4 linked regions of the Arabidopsis thaliana genome follow. The protein of the gene in region 3 purifies or fractionates together with the protein of the main gene of each other region. This does not show direct contact. Each region holds a gene or a part of one and is shown on either strand. Other genes may lie near its edges. The genes, in order: AT3G18790, MAC3A, ARP4A and AT4G08640.

The links.
Region 1: the proteins of ARP4A (region 3) and AT3G18790 fractionate together in Arabidopsis thaliana (co-fractionation; one large-scale study listed by BioGRID). This does not show direct contact.
Region 2: the proteins of ARP4A (region 3) and MAC3A fractionate together in Arabidopsis thaliana (co-fractionation; one large-scale study listed by BioGRID). This does not show direct contact.
Region 4: the proteins of ARP4A (region 3) and AT4G08640 fractionate together in Arabidopsis thaliana (co-fractionation; one large-scale study listed by BioGRID). This does not show direct contact.

The regions. Positions count from the first base shown.
Region 1 is NC_003074.8:6,475,321-6,480,189, reverse strand, and holds AT3G18790 (pre-mRNA-splicing factor ISY1-like protein), read right to left. Parts: upstream 2,530-4,869; 5' UTR 2,338-2,529; coding exon 1,435-2,337; 3' UTR 1,431-1,434; intron 917-1,430; 3' UTR 608-916; downstream 1-607. Other genes in the region: AT3G18800 (uncharacterized protein), read right to left, coding at 1-444; ACT2 (actin 2), read right to left, coding at 3,358-3,423, 3,510-4,123, 4,202-4,655.
Region 2 is NC_003070.9:1,224,495-1,231,575, forward strand, and holds MAC3A (MOS4-associated complex 3A), read left to right. Parts: upstream 1-1,988; 5' UTR 1,989-2,254; coding exon 2,255-2,267; intron 2,268-2,357; coding exon 2,358-2,443; intron 2,444-2,592; coding exon 2,593-2,664; intron 2,665-2,752; coding exon 2,753-2,815; intron 2,816-3,085; coding exon 3,086-3,172; intron 3,173-3,321; coding exon 3,322-3,463; intron 3,464-3,551; coding exon 3,552-3,673; intron 3,674-3,836; coding exon 3,837-3,953; intron 3,954-4,211; coding exon 4,212-4,307; intron 4,308-4,402; coding exon 4,403-4,462; intron 4,463-4,559; coding exon 4,560-4,634; intron 4,635-4,738; coding exon 4,739-4,843; intron 4,844-5,009; coding exon 5,010-5,129; intron 5,130-5,222; coding exon 5,223-5,300; intron 5,301-5,398; coding exon 5,399-5,483; intron 5,484-5,570; coding exon 5,571-5,622; intron 5,623-5,808; coding exon 5,809-5,879; coding exon of another isoform or gene 5,880-5,885; intron 5,886-5,970; coding exon 5,971-6,098; 3' UTR 6,099-6,453; downstream 6,454-7,081.
Region 3 is NC_003070.9:27,787,230-27,791,300, forward strand, and holds ARP4A (actin-related proteins 4A), read left to right. Parts: upstream 1-1,978; 5' UTR 1,979-2,063; coding exon 2,064-2,076; intron 2,077-2,212; coding exon 2,213-2,304; intron 2,305-2,433; coding exon 2,434-2,580; intron 2,581-2,667; coding exon 2,668-2,741; intron 2,742-2,846; coding exon of another isoform or gene 2,847-2,893; coding exon 2,894-3,071; 3' UTR 3,072-3,105; exon of another isoform or gene 3,106-3,200; 3' UTR 3,201-3,347; downstream 3,348-4,071. Other genes in the region: AT1G73885 (AT-rich interactive domain protein), read left to right, coding at 1-95, 188-353, 433-479; AT1G73890 (Bifunctional inhibitor/lipid-transfer protein/seed storage 2S albumin superfamily protein), read right to left, coding at 674-819, 907-1,005, 1,093-1,429; AT1G73920 (alpha/beta-Hydrolases superfamily protein), read left to right, coding at 3,965-4,005.
Region 4 is NC_003075.7:5,511,583-5,515,044, forward strand, and holds AT4G08640 (ATP binding protein), read left to right. Parts: upstream 1-1,730; coding exon 1,731-1,865; intron 1,866-1,987; coding exon 1,988-2,121; intron 2,122-2,210; coding exon 2,211-2,344; intron 2,345-2,479; coding exon 2,480-2,592; downstream 2,593-3,462. Other genes in the region: AT4G08630 (fas-binding factor-like protein), read right to left, coding at 75-377.

The sequences.
Region 1 (4,869 bases), on a different chromosome or scaffold from region 3:
AGAGGCCTCATCACCGTCGCCTCCACCGAGGAAATCTCCGGCAGCGATTCTTGACTTGATGAAACGGAGCTTGTGAGTGGCGAGACCGAGAGTGAGCTTATGGCAGCGACGCTGGTACTTGAAGCCGTTGATGCAACGGAGAGTTTGAGCGACGGAGACGTAGAAGAAGAGGTGAGAGAAGGATAGGAGGCAGATGGGTGCCCAGCAATGGCGGCAGTGAAGACGACCTGAGGGTTGAGAGAGGGAGAAGAAGATTACGGCGAGGAAGATGAAGAAGAGCTGAAATAGCTTGTGGAGCTTCTTCTTCTGGTGGTCAATGGCTCGTTTCTTCTCTAAGGTTTTCTCGAAGTGGAGCTGGATTATTGAGTTTAGTGCTTGTAGAGCAGTTTCTTTGGGGATGAAAGGTTGGTTATTCTGGTCAATTTCGTCGTCGTAGTCCGCCATTGAAGGACTGAGAAGAGAGAAAAAGTGTTATTGGTTAGAGAGATGGTTTGGGGATTGTGTGTAGGAACATGTGGGTGTGGTTCGTATCTCTAGACAAGTATTATCCATCTCAACGGTCTTGTTCTGATTTTTGATGTTTTGTCCGTACTCAATAAATATTTTACTGGGAGTAAAATCAAAACCAGAAAAATGCTTGTGGTTGGTCTCAACTTATGTCTCTGCATAGCACCAATCTAGTTAGAGCCAAAGGAACAATGTATAAACCTCAGGCAATGAGCATTACATTCAGAAGTATAAAGATACAAAAGTCGAGCTACATAATAGAATACACTAGTTCAGTTCCAAGTGACATTGTATCTTCTCCTTGAGTCTTTCACATTTGTTTCCATGAAATCATATTTCAAACGCCCAACATCGTTTCTTCTTTAGGCAAGAGACCATCGCGGCTGAGTTTGTTGGTAAAACAGAGCATCTGAGAAGCATAGAGATGATGTATCAGCCTCTCAGATTCAATTCAAGAGAAGATATAATACGAATTCCTTCGCATCCTAATGCATGCCACTAAGGCACTAACTAAAGTATGTCCCATTGAAATAACAGTTTCTGCAAATCTAAGCTCCACATACAAGGGTACTAGGTCAATTACTCAGGTCAGTGAAACTCTTGATTAATGAAGCAAGAATGTACGTTGTTGTTATAGATTGATCGCGCTTTATGACATTACTCGACAGAAGCCTTATCATACTCTCAAACAGACCAGGACTACTAAGGAAATATAAATCAAGATCTAGCAAATTCTCTAAGATCATAATCTAGGATGTAATAATATAAGAAACATCAACAAATTTTTAGAATTCCTCTAATCGAAATTTCTTAAAACACACAGCAGTTCAGTCAATTTTCTGATCAAAAACTGCAAAAGAAACTACAGACAATAAAATTATACTATGATATGATTAAAAAGCCTTACAAGAAGAGATGATCACCTTTCTATCTATGAATATTGAGCATGGATTTAGCCTCAGTCTGCTGCTCAACCAAATCTTCACTAGCATACTTACTAAGCAGATCCATCTTCTTCTTCTCCAACACCATCTTCTCAATCTCCTTCTCATCAGGCAACGGAACATGAACCACAAATTCCCTCTCTTTCTCCTCCTCTTTCTCCCTCTCCATCCTCTCCTCCTCAACAACATCCTCCTCCTCCTCAAACAACACTTCCCTCGCCGCAGCAGCTGCAGCTCCAACACTCACAACCTCACTAGCACCTTTCCTAGCTTCCTTCCTAACCTCATCTAATCTCCGCCACTCCTCCACCGATCTTTTCCTCATCCCTCCTTCAGATTTCCTCTCCAACTTCTCCAAAATACCATCTTCATCATCTCTATACCCATAATAGCTAGCATCAATCCTTTTATATATATCATACCTAGTTTTACGCTTCCTCAGCTCAGGAGGCTTCTCAAAAAGCTCTCTAACACCAGGAAGTTTCTTAGCAGCTCCGAAGTAACGATAACCAGGACCACGACCACTAGGGTTAGGTACATCGATTATGTTACCTTCTAGATCCGTCATCTTCGCCGAATGTTTCGAGTAATTGTGACCACCTAGCTCAACGATTCGCCGCTCCCAATGATATCTCTCCCTGAGAAGCTTGTTAATCTCATCGTTTAGATCTCGAAGTCTGTGCTCTCCTAATCCTTCGTTCTGAATCTCAGCTACTTTGCTACCGATCTCTCTCAAAATTTGCTGTCTCCATTTGTCTGCTTCAGCTAGATCTCTACATTCTGATGCGAGGTAAGGTCGACGCTCTTTTGGCTTCTTCTTCTCAGATTCTTTCTGGGTGATGAATCTGTTGAGCATCGACTGTGCTTTCTCTTCATTACGAGCCATCTTGGGTCTTCGGAGGTTACGATTACACTAGCAAATCTCAAAGGAAAGCAGAATCTAACAGAAGAAGAGATCGAGATACTTCTCTAGCTTTTTTTTCTTACTTAAACCCTAATTTGCAGGATAACGAGAAGGAGAGACGCGGAAGAGAGAAACTGAGAAAGGATTGGGGTTAAATTGGTAATTAGATAATTGTTTCGCCGGAAAAAGAAAAATAAAAATTGTTTCAAGTTCTACGTCCTTTTCCAAAGCTAAGGCCCAATTTATTAGCCCATATATGCTATATAAGCATCAACTAGATAGGACAATATTTTAGGGCCCAAGGAAGACTCGTTTCGAGTATTGATTAATTCTTCAACGAGTTGACTTTTTGGAATCAAGATGTATAAACCAAATGTGCAGGACAATTTGAAATTAATTTGTTATATTTTGCATCATGTAAAAGGATTAATAAGCGAAAAGAGTAACGAATAGATACACCTCGTAATTGTTTTGGTGTAAAACTTGAAACAGTAGAATTGACGATTGGGGTTATATAAAATGGTGCGATCTTAAAATATCTGACTTTGTGCTAGTTTAAGTTCATTTGTGAATGGAAGACATGTAACGCTTTAACTATTCAGAATATCAGTTCCAAGTGAAGATGGAGGTAGCAAAAGTAAGACTAATAACCAAATCAATAAAAATCTTATACAATACTTATATTAACATTGCAAAGAGTTTCAAGGTTTTTCTTCTGAGTTTTGAAAGAAATTATAGGGAACAAAAGGAATAAAGAGGCATCAATTCGATCACTCAGAGCTACAAAACAATGGGACTAAAACGCAAAACGAAAGCGGTTTTTTTTTTTGAAACGCAGACGTAAGTAAAAACCCAGAGAGTTTGTCACACACAAGTGCATCATAGAAACGAAAACAAAAAGGGAAATGAAACAAACAAATGGAGAAGCAAATATAAAAGAAAAAAAGAAACTTTGATCCCATTCATAAAACCCCAGCTTTTTAAGCCTTTGATCTTGAGAGCTTAGAAACATTTTCTGTGAACGATTCCTGGACCTGCCTCATCATACTCGGCCTTGGAGATCCACATCTGTAACCAACATATACATAAATAATCAGCCTTTGATTTCAATTTGCATGTAAGAGAATTCGAAACAAAATCTGATCAATTTTTACCTGCTGGAATGTGCTGAGGGAAGCAAGAATGGAACCACCGATCCAGACACTGTACTTCCTTTCAGGTGGTGCAACGACCTTAATCTTCATGCTGCTTGGTGCAAGTGCTGTGATTTCTTTGCTCATACGGTCAGCGATACCTGAGAACATAGTGGTTCCACCACTGAGCACAATGTTACCGTACAGATCCTTCCTGATATCCACATCACACTTCATGATTGAGTTATAGGTTGTCTCGTGGATTCCAGCAGCTTCCATTCCCACAAACGAGGGCTGGAACAAGACTTCTGGGCATCTGAATCTCTCAGCACCAATCGTGATGACTTGCCCATCGGGTAATTCATAGTTCTTCTCGATGGAAGAGCTGGTCTTTGAGGTTTCCATCTCCTGCTCGTAGTCAACAGCAACAAAGGAGAGCTTCTCCTTGATGTCTCTTACAATTTCCCGCTCTGCTGTTGTGGTGAACATGTAACCTCTCTCTGTAAGGATCTTCATGAGGTAATCAGTAAGGTCACGTCCAGCAAGGTCAAGACGGAGGATGGCATGAGGAAGAGAGAAACCCTCGTAGATTGGCACAGTGTGAGACACACCATCACCAGAATCCAGCACAATACCTGTTCAATGGAAGATAATCAGAGCTCAGTTCAAATAATGATCAATGAGTATAAACAAAAAGCCTAAAATGTACTAACCGGTTGTACGACCACTGGCGTACAAGGAGAGAACAGCTTGGATGGCGACATACATAGCGGGAGAGTTAAAGGTCTCAAACATGATTTGAGTCATCTTCTCTCTGTTGGCCTTTGGGTTAAGAGGAGCCTCGGTAAGAAGAACAGGGTGCTCTTCAGGAGCAATACGAAGCTCATTGTAGAAAGTGTGATGCCAGATCTTTTCCATATCATCCCAGTTGCTAACAACACCATGCTCAATAGGATACTTCAAGGTAAGAATACCTCTCTTGGATTGTGCTTCATCACCAACATATGCATCCTTCTGGTTCATCCCAACCATGACACCATGATGTCTTGGCCTACCAACAACACTGGGAAAAACAGCCCTGGGAGCATCATCTCCTGCAAATCCAGCCTTCACCATACCGGTACCATTGTCACACACGATTGGTTGAATATCATCAGCCTCAGCCATTTTTTATGAGCTGCAAACACACAAAAAGAGTTCAATACAGTCAAATAAACCCTGATTGAATCAGAAATAGCTTTCTGTTCAACGTACGACACTACAAATCCTAAAGTTTCGAAGAATCTATACACAAACTTCATCTAACCTTAAACAGTGTTCAGATTCAATCTAACATTGACAGTGTTCAGATTCAATCTAACTTCAACAGTTCAGATTTCAA
Region 2 (7,081 bases), about 27 Mb from region 3:
AAACTAATGAAGGTTATGGAAGTTATCGTAACCAATTTATTTATACTTATGGTTTAAATGTGTATCTATATGTGTATGTATGCAAAATGTAATAAGAAAAATGCCAGCGTGGCAATTGACGTTAAACGCGCTGGTCCTGGAGTTTCTTATTCTCGTGACGTGGCGTGTAACGATTGGAATAATTAGTTGACGTGGAGAAAATAGTCCCACCTAAGTGATGACTTGGTTGACCGGTAAAGGAGTTTGACCCAATTCTTTTTGTCGCGATGATTTTTGACTTTCTGACTGAAACTTGTGCTAAATTAAGCCTTCTATTTATAGAATTTGGCTTTTCTATTTTATTTTTAGCAATTTAATTTTTCATTTTCTATTTATTTACTTGGTTGGGTTTTTTAAATGCTGGTAAGAAGTGGAAAAGAAGAGAAGGAGAAAAAGAGACCAGGTCAGTGAAAATTTTGAAAATAAGAGATAAAGATCGTACTAAGTCAAATGTATTTATTTTATGGAAATTTCGAGGGGAAAAAAAATGTTACGTGATGCTTAGTTAAATTCGGAAACTACAAATTTCATATCAAGATGGTTTCTCTCGATAAAAATTCGTTACAGTGATAGTTTTAGCATACCATGCTTCGAGTTGTCGTTTTCTATATATGTTGTTTTCCTTACAACCATAACCAAATAATGAACTGATCATACAAATGAAAAGATACTTTTATAGATCGGAATATATATCGACTTAGATAACGTAAATAAAGGTACACCAATGTGATTTATAGATTATATAGTCATCAACACCATATATGAAACTTTAACAAAAAAACACCATATATGAAACTACAATTTTTTACGAACATGGTCTTACCTTTATTTTATCTTTTTTTTTCGTATAAAGAATTCCCAAACTATGAAAAAATGTCAGCTAGGTGAATAATCTAACTTTCATGGACTATTACTCAGCTAAGTTCAAAATATCCCTTCACTTCAAAACTTCTAAAAACAACTTTCATTGACTATACGCATTAATTAATTACTATTGTAATTACGACGATTTTTTTTTCGTTCTCCTCTAGCTTTTTTTAGTTTATTTGTTTTGGTCATGGTTGGGAACGGGACATCATCACATCACTTATCAACATTCTATTTGGTCCCCAACTCTATGAAGCATTATTTGAAATCATTAGCATGACTATCTAAGTTTTTTTTCTCCTGATATTTATCCAAAATTTTATTTCATTCAAATTGTTTAACAATATGTACATATACTATATGTATTATATAAAATACATATCACCACTCAGGCAATTTTTTAAACTTATATACAGTATGTGATAAAATAAACATGGTCATACGTTTAAGAATTGGAAATTAATGAGGTTGCAAGAAATCATTTAACGAGAACAGAATGAAGAGAAAGAAAAAAATAGCAACTTGGTGGCAAAAGGAAAAAGAAACAGCTTGAGATCAAAGCTGATTTGATGAATCGATACTTTGGAGATATATATGAGCATCTTCGGCAAAAGCTTTGGCCTTTGAGTGCAGTGTTACACACACGCATTTTCCAAACGAGATGATTTAAGTTTTGCAGAGCTATCACAAATATATTATAATACCAAACTCTCAGACAATATTATATAAATCGGAAGTCTAATTTTTTTTAATAAAAAATGAAAATATAGTATGACCAATGATTTGTTCATATAAGGTTCTTTTTTCGGCTATGTTAATTGTTGAGAAATGAGAATACTAAATATGCTTTTTATGAGAATACTACTTTTCGGCTATGACTAATTTTTGTTCATAAAGAACACATCTATCGTACGTGCAAATAGAATGGCCCGTACATCGTTGTCCTACCTTATACTTTAAAAGAATTTGTAATCAGAAAAAATAAAAGAAAAGAATGACAAAAAAAAGGGTAAGAATTATACTTTCGAGTTTCTTTTCTCAGACAGAAAGAATGAACGAACATACATAGTTTAACTAATGGGCTTCAGAAAAAAGCCTAATTAGTTATAAATCAAGGTCTCGTTAAAAGGCCCATTTGTTTAACAAGAAATCTCTAACTTGTTGTCCTAAGCTTAAACAATTTTTGCATCTCTCTCTCTTTCCGTCTTCATCGTCCTCCCGGCTTCTGCGATTTTGTTTAGTAGCGCCGGACCGGAGTAGTTAAAACCCTAGCCCAGTCTATTTAAAGATTCACCGAGTAGTCTTCTAGTCCTGCGTATACTTCTTCTTCTTCGTTTATACTTAGAAGATGAATTGTGCAAGTAAGGCACTCTTTCTTCTCTATTTACCGATTTAGGGTTTTATTTTGCTTTGTTTCTGTCGGTAACACTGTGGTCTTTTCTCCTCTACAGTTTCCGGCGAAGTTCCGGAGGAGCCTGTGGTTTCTAAGAAGTCGGGTTTGCTTTACGAGAAGCGGCTAATCCAGACGCATATATCCGTAAGCAAGTTCTTTTCTTTTCTCCCTCGTTCGACTCTTATCTAGGGTTTTCAGCTGTTTAGCCTCTTGCACCTCTCTATTTGCTGCAGATATTTTCTTAATACAGACTTTGTTGTGATAATTTATAGATTGCTTTTGGTACCTTGTAGGATTATGGGAAATGCCCGGTTACTGGTGAGCCACATACTCTTGATGACATTGTTCCCATCAAAACTGGGAAGGTAATGCAACCACTGGAGTTATTTGTCACACAGCATTGTTTGTAGAAACTTATTTAAGCCTGATTCGATCTCCGGGACCATTTTGCAGATCGTAAAGCCGAAACCATTACACACAGCTAGCATCCCTGGATTGCTTGGAACGTTTCAGACTGTAAGTTCTTATTTTGTATTCCCTATACCTTCTTTTTCGTTTCTGAATTTTGTTCTCTGTCTATTAAGGATCATATAGAGTTAAAATGGATGAACTTGATTTGGGTATGCATCGCTATCTGAGTTATTTAACATAGCAGATTGCATTCTACTCTTTACATTGAATTATATGTTCATTTGTTACTAATAGCAAGACGAAAGTGTTCGCTGGTTATTTTTACTTTAGGCAAAAGAAATGCTTAAAAAGTTTATCTGTTTGTTGTGCTTGTAGGAATGGGACAGTTTGATGCTATCAAATTTTGCTTTGGAACAACAACTGCATACTGCGAGGCAAGAGCTAAGTCACGCTTTGTATCAGGTAATTATGGTTAGGTGCATTTGCCACCACCTTATCAGACTACATGAATTACAAATATCTATTATGTATTCTAGTTTCTTTTCCTGGATGTTTCCATTTATTTCTTGTGATAAAAGGTGATTGATGGGGGATACACTTTTCCTTTGCAGCATGATGCTGCTTGTCGTGTGATTGCTAGGCTTAAAAAAGAAAGAGACGAATCACGACAATTGCTTGCAGAGGCTGAAAGGCAGTTGCCTGCAGCCCCCGAAGTTGCCACATCGAATGCTGCTCTTAGTAATGGTAAACGAGGTATGCTTGCACGTTTGCTTCTCAATGTAAGTTGGCTATGTGGTAATTTCTCTTATAACAAGCTACTATGTTTTTGGTTGCAATATAGGTATCGATGATGGTGAGCAGGGGCCTAATGCAAAGAAAATGCGTCTTGGAATTTCGGCTGAAGTTATCACAGAACTCACAGATTGTAATGCTGCTCTTTCTCAGCAGCGTAAAAAGAGACAGGTAACTGCATATATCAGTATATTAGTGGAAATAGAAGGCAAAAGAGAATTACATATATATATAGTTTGTCTGTAACATACAATGGATATCTGCACTTTTGGAGTTCAATTAGATTTGCGAGTGGTTCTTCTGTCTTAATAATTTCTCCTCATTGGTTCTCTAGATCCCTAAAACATTGGCTTCAGTCGATGCTCTGGAGAAGTTCACCCAACTCTCAAGCCACCCCCTTCACAAGACCAACAAACCTGGAATTTTTTCAATGGACATCCTACATTCTAAGGTTTGACACCTAAGAACTTCTCTATTTTCCATTCATCACTTTATGTAGTTTTTCTCTGTCCTGAGAAGTCACTGCATTGAACGTCATAGTGACATGTTTACTTTTGCGCTTACATTATATTGTACACTGCCATGAATCCCCATCTGGATGCTTATCAATATTATTCTTCAGTATATAGATTTTGTACACTACCATGAATCCCTGTGTCTGTTCTCTATTTAGTATTATTCTTAATTTCTCGTTATATGTGGTAATCAGGATGTCATCGCTACGGGAGGAATTGATACAACTGCCGTTCTCTTTGATCGTCCTTCAGGACAAATCTTATCAACGCTGACTGGTCACTCAAAGAAGGTCTGTCTTTTACTGTATTCTTTTTTTATATTTCATTTTCTTTTTTAACTTTTCCTTTGTAGTTTTGTGCTTGACATGCATTGTTCCTTTTGCAGGTTACAAGCATCAAGTTCGTTGGTGACACTGATCTTGTGTTAACTGCTTCATCCGACAAGGTAAGCTAAGGTTATGTGTACAAGCTCCTTTGAGGATTGCATGATTTTATGGAGTAGTAGTGAAGAGATTAACTTCTCATTTCTTAACACTCTGCAGACAGTCCGCATCTGGGGATGTTCCGAGGATGGGAACTATACCTCTAGACATACACTGAAAGATCATTCTGCCGAGGTAAGGATGTAACTGAAGAACTTCTACAGGCTACAGTCTCATACAGTTTTACGTTTTATTTATTTTTGGTCTGTTTAACGTAAAAGCAATGATGTGGTTTTCAGGTGCGAGCTGTAACTGTCCACGCAACGAATAAATACTTTGTGTCAGCATCACTTGACAGTACATGGTGCTTCTATGATCTGTCCTCCGGTTTATGCCTTGCTCAGGTCTCCAAAATTTTAATCCACACCTGATACCTGTTATCCAGTTTCAGATTTCTTCTTTTATGCTAATATAACAATGAAACATTTACCTTCTTTATTGTAATGTGAATTAGACTCGTTAGAATAAATGTTTCTGCCATGCGTCTTTCTCATTATTGTTGTTATTCAGGTGACAGATGCTTCCGAAAACGACGTGAATTACACGGCTGCTGCTTTTCATCCTGATGGTCTCATTCTTGGAACTGGTACCGCTCAATCTATTGTTAAGATTTGGGATGTAAAAAGTCAGGTAAAAACTCTTTGACCTTCCTTGCTCATCAACTGTTGTCACTTGTAAGTTTGTTCTCACTTCACTCTCATCTCTATCTCTGTCGTTTGATAGGCAAATGTGGCAAAGTTTGGTGGACACAATGGAGAAATCACCTCTATATCATTCTCTGAAAACGGTTATTTCCTTGCGGTGGGTACATTGACTGATTGACCTAAACTAAGTAGAAAGAAGGATAGCACCAGGTTCCTTTTGACTGACCAATATTTACTATTCTTTAAATTGTACAGACTGCTGCACTGGATGGTGTTAGGTTGTGGGACTTGCGCAAGTTAAAGAACTTCCGAACCTTTGACTTTCCAGATGCAAACTCGGGTATTCAACTACCTGAGCACTCTTACTAGTCTATTTTGTTGAGTGAGTTTTCATTTCTTAAGGCCTGAATGAGCTTTTTTTGTGCAGTGGAGTTTGACCATAGCGGATCTTATCTTGGCATTGCTGCTTCAGATATAAGGTGAGGTCTACTTTGATACACAATGTTGGGAATTAATTGATATAGGAGCTCACTTTGATAACGAGATATTGAAAGATAGTTGTGCAAACTCAATTAACCTGCTATCACCAGAAATGCAGTTTGGGTATATGTATACGTTTCTTCTGCAAATCATACTAATCGAAAACTTGTGCTTCAATGTTGTAGAGTATTCCAAGCAGCTAGTGTAAAAGCAGAATGGAACCCAATCAAGACTCTTCCCGATCTGTCCGGTACAGGTAAATGCTACATGTTAAGCTTTTGAAGTCACTGCTCTTCCTTGTTTTATTGAGTCTATCATTCAGACATTGTAACTACATAAATGTGCAGGTAAAGCAACAAGTGTTAAGTTTGGACTCGACTCCAAATACATAGCAGTCGGTTCAATGGACCGTAATCTCAGGATATTTGGTTTACCTGATGATGACAATACTGAAGATTCAGCACAAGATTCATGAAGAGATATCTCAAAAGTCTCATCATCAAGAGTAGCTATATCCTCAATTCTCGCGATTTTTGTTGTATCTTTACAGTTCTGTTGGTACTTTCCTGATGGCCCCTCTCACAATCACATATACACACCTGAGCTCTCTCCCTTTCTTTCTCAGTCAACAATTTTCCTGTAACAACATCGTACCTTAAGGATCTGCAGTTGATCTTTCTCTCTTTGATCTGAAAGAGTCCACATAAAACAAAGTTAGCTGCTCACTATAAAAGCAAATGAAGAACAGGCATGTAAATGATCTTCTTCATCATTCAAATCAGTAGGACCTAAACGGCAACAATTAAAAAACTTGTGTTATATAGAAAGGGTCATGAATCTTGAAGACAATGAAATGAAGACAAAAAGATTGTGATGGTGGTCATAGAAATTAGAAAACCCTGAGACAGACAGAGATTTTGACTGTACTGTGGTCAAAACACACACTTCACAATCTTCCCATTCCCCCACCAATCTCAGATTCCTTTTCACTTCCTCCAACTCTTTCTCTCTCTCTGGCCTTTTTTTTTTTTTTTTTTCCTATTTATAGCTCATCTTTAGTAATTCCGTTATTGGTTAAATTTCCTAAACATGTTTTTGGTATCAACAATCAAGTAAGTGCAAGAAAGTTTGTATCTTTCTCTAAACCCAATTTCCAAAGTAACCAACTACTAAACCAGAATGTTACACAAAGTAAGTCACTAAATGACTTTAAAAACAAGATTAGACTTTAAACTAGATTAGAGACATACTTATTTGGAATAAGATTCAAAGGTCACTAGTAGCTAGTAGGTGGTAAAAAGGAAGCTAAACAACAAATAAACTCTTATTAAAATCTTTCAATCAATAAATATTTATTGTAATTTGCTGCAGTAAATCAAACATTGTACAGTTTCAGAACTGAATGGCTCAGAAGCGTTAAAAGGAAAAAGAGACTCTCTCTCTCTCTCTCTCTCCCCT
Region 3 (4,071 bases):
TTCCTGGACTTGAACCAGATCCTTTTGAAGGTGAGAAGTGGGATGGTCTAGGTTTCTTCGTTCAGTACTTGTGGGCTTTCGGAATCCTTTTCGCGGTAAATTTCTGTACTTTTCAGTTGCTTTATAACAATTCTCCAATTTTGAAGTTAAACCAATCAATTCACTATGGTTCAAAATGTTGTAACAGCTAATCTCTGGTGGACTTGCGGCGGGGACGTATAACGAAGGTGCGACGGATTTCAAGGAGACGCCAGTATATAAAGAGGCGATTCAATCTCGTGACCTTCTTGATGAAGCAGAGAGTTCAAACTCTGAAGATGTGTTTGAGTCCAACCCAACAGAAGTGGCTCCTAGTTTGGAATAGTTTCAGTTCAGTGTTTAGAGAAAGAATTTAAAGACTGAAACTTTTTGCTATTGGGGTGTTTTAAAAAGCCATATTCCAAGTTGATCTTGAGCTTGTTGTGTTCATAATGTTATAGATTCAAAGTTAAAAGAAGAGTATTGTTCTTCATTGTTCTGTTTTCCGATTTCATTTCTGAACTGCAAACTTCTTTAGGAATCATTCCAATAATCTCTTCTTTTATAAATGTAAGGTAAAGTTATAAAGTTGATCTTGATTCATTGAGAAAACACAAAACAGAAGAGACCGAGATGGTAGTTAATGCAGAAAGACTCAGATGAGGAGGAGAGCGGCGGGTAAGATCGCTGCGAGTGCAAAGATGGTTAGCTGAATCTCAGACTTGGAGCCAGAGGATTTCAAACCATAACCTAATCCCATAAAACTGGTGGGTCTTGGTGCCATTTGAGCCACTGGAGTAGCTGATAAAGTGAAAAGTAACACTATGTTAACTGTTTCCATGTTTTGGTTTTAGCAGATACTGAAAACTTTGGTAAAAAGTGGTTTACCAGCGACACGAGAGTTGTTCTTTGCACCTTGAGAGATTTGAGAACCAGTTGAGCTTGAAGGTGGTGGAGCAACAGAGGAGGAATCACTAGGCGCCTCTCCTATATACCGAAAACATTCTCGTAAGTTCCAAGAAACCAATTTGATCTCACAGAGGAGAGGACAAAGTAGAAGTGTTGTTTACGTACCAGGGAAGGAGGAGGAGCAAGTGGATGAATTGGCTGGAATGTTGCAAAGCGGAGGCAATTGTAGAGCAAGAGTTTGATTAATTGGAAAAGCAGGGGACAAAGTAGAGGTGTTGTTGAGGAAGAGACAGAGACAGGTTGCTTCTTGGCTATAGATCTGGTTTAAGCTGTCACAACATGGCTGAGCCGGAAGTTGGGCAAAGCCTTGAACGAATGGACCACATGGAGCTAAGGAAAGCAGTCTGGAGGCACATGTAGCTGGTACTTGAGCGAGAACCATTCGGAGAAAGAATGCTGATAAGGAGATTAAAAGAGTGATGAGAAGAGTAGAAGAAGCCATTTTTTTCCTAGGAGACTAAGTTTCTTTCTTCTTTGTTTGTGGGAGAGTAAGGGGATTCTGAGTATTTAAGGTTGGAATCAATTGGTTTGGTGTGTGTGACTATGGACATGAATTGTTATTGCACACATGATGTGTGTTTATTTGTTGCAACACTTGAGTTCTTCATGCTCGTTTCTTATTTGGTGTTTTTGAGTTCATTCGTAAATTGTGCTTCTTGTTGACCACAAGAAAACAAGAATGTTACCGGAATCTCGTTAACAAATTTTTAGAATTTGAAATAGTTAACCAATTGAAATACCAAATTTAGAAAACTTGAGCAACAAAGTCGTTGTAGTATAGTGGTAAGTATTCCCGCCTGTCACGCGGGTGACCCGGGTTCGATCCCCGGCAACGGCGTATTTTTAATTTTTTCATATTTGTTTTTATTTTAGTCCCTTTGTTTTCAGTTTCTTTAGTTTTAGTCCCTCATATTTCAGGTTTGTTTGTTTTAGTCCTTCTCTTCTTTATATTCAACTTCCCAATCCGAGACAAAGTGAAATCACTTAAATAGTTTACTTTCCGGTTCCGTTCTTAAACCTTCCGACGAAGCTCCGGTAGAGAAAACCTCTCTTCACCTCTCCCATTCTCGGCAGCCATGTACGGTGGAGGTAGGTTTTATTTTCGTCCTCTCTAAAATCTCTCTCTGATTGTACAAATTCAGCATTACTTCTTTCCCTTTTCGCTTGAGCTCGTCTCGTAAAGGTGTAAACTTTTCCTTGGTGGGGTTTCTTATATATTGAACAGACGAAGTGTCAGCTATCGTAGTAGACTTAGGTTCTCACACTTGCAAAGCTGGTTACGCCGGAGAAGATGCCCCTAAAGCTGTTTTCCCTTCCGTAAGTCTCATTCTTTACTTCCTCTCTTTTCAATTGGTTAAAGTTAGGTCCTTTTAGTGTAGAGCAAGCAATTCGAGAAATTTAGGTTTTTTGTTGTTGCTGTTGTTGATGTGTTATATAACTTATAAGGTTGTTGGAGCGATAGATGGAAATGGAATGGATATTGATGATGCTGCAAACACCACGGAGGATGCAAAGGAGTCTGATAAAGAAAAAGGCAAAAGGAAGCTTTACACAGGATCTCAAGCTTTGAACTTTCGCCGCGATCAAATGGAGGTCAGTTTTCTTTATTAAACTTCAAAATGGTTAGGGATGAAGATAAATTTTCAGGTCTCTCTATTAGTTGACATTTGTCTGTTCCAGATATTGTCACCTACAAAGGATGGCATTGTAACTGATTGGGATATGGTGGACAATGTATGGGATCATGCTTTTAGGTAATTTGCAGAATCTGTTAGTTTTTGTCTTTAACTGTTTAATCTTTATCTTTTCCATTTATAGTTGATTGATGATTTCATCTGTGTAAATGTTTATTATTCAAGGAATTGTCTAATGATTGATCCCACGGAGCACCCAATGCTACTTGCAGAGCCTCCTCTGAACTCACAGCAGCAGAGAGAAAAGTCTGGTTTCTCTACCTTTTATCGATGCTGAGTTCATCTTGGATTAGGAACAGATTATTCTGGTGGAACATCATCAATGCAGTAATTGAAAGAACGCCTCGAGAAAGACTTGGTAGAAGTAAGGTAGTATACTGGCATCGTTAGGCTCATTCCAGCAAATGTGGTTCTCCAAGTCTGAGTAAGTAACACATTGGATTGCTCTCTAGATCTCGACTCACGTATAAACAGTGTCTTCTCATCGCTAGGGTTTGAGTCTTTTTGTGTACATGACAGGTATGCAGAGCATGGAGCTTCTTACATCCAGAGGAAATGCCCTTAAAAGCTGCTTGAGATCAAGATAACGAGAACCTTTGGAGACAGTCAGAGGGTTTAGGGATTAAGTAATTAGTATCTTTTCATTTATTTAGGCAAATATTAAACACTTTTTTATTATTATTATGAAGCTTTAGAAATAGCTTCGTATAATATAATGTTTCAACGTTAACATACAACAAATGTACTATTTTTCTAAGTGAAAACAACCACAAATGTACTTGTGTGTTTGCCTGTTTGGTAAATCCACCTTCTCCGTTATCCAAAAGTCGAATTTACGTGTCGTAGTTTTTGTCACATTCGTCATTATCCAATAACACATGTCCACGTGTCACCATTTTCTGGTCTCTGGACGGCAAGAATCGCCGACGTGCCCCTATTTAATCGGATTCTCCCATTTTTATTTTATTTTCGTCAGATTCTCTCCAATTTTGTTTTTTCTTTTTAGATTTTTGATTCTCGAATCGCGGCTCCTGTGGGTCTCTGTGTTTTCCTTATTTTGAGTTCGGATTAAATCTCGATCGCGATTTGGTCCAATATCTCCTAGCATCGAGAGATTTCTATTCTGGCTAAATTTTGTGTTTTCTCAGGTGGATAAGAAATTTTCTCTTTGTCGTTTTCCTCGATAATTTTCGGATTACGGCGACGAATCAGATTGTTTTTTGGTTTCAAATTTTCTGATATTTCCAAAAAAACAAAAAAATCTGATTTTTGAGAAAAAAGCAATGCAACGGATCGTGGACAACGCTCTCGCTGTAACCAAAGAGTGAGTCTTTTTTCTTATCGATCATCAGTGGATTCATCTGTGTATGCGCCTATAGTTGTTCTAATG
Region 4 (3,462 bases), on a different chromosome or scaffold from region 3:
ACACTATCACATAAAATCCCTACATTGCAAAACCCTCATTACAGTGAAAAAGTGAGTCTGTTAATTTTAATTACCACAGGAGAGCGAGAAGGATGAGATCTTCCAGCTGCGAGTCCAATGCTCCCTGTTCCGATAGCATTATAGTCAAAGGAAAGGTCTTCATCACTATCTTCCTCGTCCCCTGTTTGATTTGACATCACAGCCGCAAGTCTCTGAGCAGCTGCTTTTGTCTGAGCTTTCTTAGCATTCGAAGCTGGCCCAGCATTTGATCCTGAACGTGTATGACGATGCATTAGAGGAGACGTCATCATAGGCGAAGATGGTGTTCCTGGTTCCGTACTCTTATTCCTAACATGAATAGGTCTCGTGTTTCTCATCGTCAACTACAAAAATTAAGCACATTGATTTTCATCATCACATTCACATCAATGGCAGTTTGATTGGAACTAAAAATTCCACACATTGAATTAAAAAAATAGTTACCAAATTTGTCAAAATTTTGGAAATCACAGAAAAGTGAAATCCAGAAAAATGGAAAAAGAATTAAATGCGTGAATTAAACAGAACCTTACAAAATTAGATTCAACAGAAATCTCAAAGAATGTTTCAAAAGAAAAAGCAATGAATAAATTTGCCATTTATGGCAGCACATATTTCTCTCTCTGACTGATCTTCGGTCATTTAGCCAGAAATTGCGAGTGGCTTTCAACGGTCGGATTGAGAACAGTTTCTTCTTTAATTATTTATACTTTCATCCCCAATAATTTATTATTGTTATCGATAGTACCTAAATTTATTTATTTTATAGTTTTCATCCCACGATTGTGTAATAATTATCCAAAGTACCCTTTTCCAATTATAATAGCATTATCATCTTTTTGTTTATGGTTTAGGTACAGTTTTTAAAGTTTTCTCACGGTTTGTAAAATAGAAAAAGGAAAATCAAGTAACTAAGAGATATATTATTTGATTTGATAGTTAGCTCGTAATTGTTTCGTCTACCACAACGGCATATAGAAATTTATATTTCTAGTTATGACTTATGATCAGTGATTATAGCATATGTTGTATGATAAAAAATATTTTTCATATAGTTTTTATTTCTTATTAAATTATTAATTACTTATTAGGCAATACATATTTTTTCATTTATTACTTGATATCTCTAACTTTTGCTCTCTTTGTAATACGTAAGTGTAACTTATCTCTGTGTTGTTTTTATGCTTGGCAACATCAATCCTTAATAAGATAGATGAGCTTTTTATCATATCCGAAATAGCCTCTAAGCAGCAGAAAGATGAAAGAGATGATTTAGCCATTCCTTTTGCTAGATCAATTCTCAACCATAAAGATTCTTTGAAAGAGATGAGACTGATAACATTTCGGGATATACAAAATCCTTGGAAAAGGTGAATGATGCGTCCTTATTACTATTTATTATTTCTAGAGTTAAAACATAAATATCATATTTGTTTTTTTGTTCGGTAGGCTCTTGAGATACTTCAAGAACAAGTTAAGATATCTGAGAGACTATGGTTGTGCAAGAGACTTTTCTTTCCCGAATGAGGATGATAACTAGCAAGCAGTTTAACCAAAAAAGTTTAAATTCTTTAGTACTTGAGGTATTTTATTCATGTAAGATTTTTTTTATTATTTCTCATTTCTTCAGTGTTATTGCAATAGAATGGTTCATCTGTTTACAGGTATGCTCTTAAGTCCTAACGAATGCAATGACCATGAACATTGATGATGTCCATGTTGCCAAGATATTGGGAGTAGACTCTCGCAAATCTTGCGTTGTCTGTGGTATCGTCTTTAAAAGTGACGATGTAGGTAACATTAGGCATCCTTTGAAAAATGCAAAGGTGAGACCAGGTTGAACAAATCTTGCATAACATGGCATCCTTTGTAACTGTCTTTCTCAAGGATGGTTGTGTTTTTAATTGTTGACTATTTTTCTCCTTTATTTTGGGTTCTAGTCTTCTAGGTACATAACTTTGGAAAGTCAAAGGAAGCCATGCTTGAGACTTTGGTTAAAGATATTGCTTTTTCCAATGTAAAAGTTATTGTTAGTCGGTCATCAATTTGTGAAATGACACTACGTTTCTGCAAAATTTACAAGTAAGTAATCTCTAACATTTGAACCTACTTTGAATCATTTTTTCTGAACCTTTTGATAAATACAGTGTTGGCAATACCATTTTTTTTAGGATAATGGTTCTACAGATTTCTTCTGACATTGATATTAACAGTTTATGTTCAATAGTTGGTGCAATTGATTCATCTCAGCATTTCCAACCTCATCATCTTGGATACATGGATTCTACATCATTATCAGAGATTGGTAATTCCTCAACAATCACTTTGTGTGGAACGAAATGGAAAGTCTTAACCAAACAACAAAGCTACATTACTCATGGAATCAATACATACAATTTAATACTTGTATATTTACTGAATTAGTTATTCTTGTCTGTAGCCAAGAGAGCTGTAAAGAAGGCAGAGAGAGATGCAGAGAGGGCTGAGAGAGCCTCTCAGAAGAAAGCAGAGAAGTTTAAGAGTAAGCTCCAGGCTGAGAAAAAGAAGGATTGAAACTAGATCAGATAATTGATGTGTTTCTTTTTATCATGTAATGAATGACTTAGAGTAATGTAGAGATTATTGTTCTTAAAAGGTTTGCGGGAGCTGTCTTCACTAAAGGTAAAAAAATCTTAACATGTGAACTCTTTTTGTCGACTCTATCCTTTTTTAGAAGCAGAGGTCTGTTATTAGATGATTATTTAAGAGACATTTTTGAAGTATTTGCTCTGTATAAAGGATCATGAGGCATTTTTTTGTCATGTCTCAAAAATAGACGGAATACATTATCAAAGTTTATATATTTATAGATTATAATGTGTAAGAAAGCAATGTACAACCATGTCTAACGCATAAGCCCCAATAACGTAAAAGCCAGCACCTCTTCAGAACAATCTCTTCCTAAAGAGAGCTCCAGATGAGAAACTATCGATTTAAAAAATACACTAGATGGAAACAAAAAGTATGAACCTTTAAAAATACTCCTCTCGAGTCAATATCAATCTATTAGTCACGGTCTTAAGAGAGTTAAGCTCGAATTCAACTTTATAAAGGTGCTCTAACGAAGATGTTGCCTCCTCCCTAGCAATCTAAAACGATTCCAAGATCTAAGGTGTTAGTACAAATACCCGTAAGAACAACAACATATCAAAACTTGAAGTACCTCAGCTTCTGTGTGAAGAGCCAAAACATCTACCCTCCTTCCTCCATGATTTTGTGATGCAACTCTCAAAGCAGCCTGAAAAGAATTTGGTTCTATGGATTATGCTACTTTTTTATAGGCCAAGATCTAAACTAGAATCATAAAGCCTCATGGAACTTTATAATAAAAAAATAATGTATGAGACCATGTAGATAAATGATAAGACACTAACCTCTCTCTGA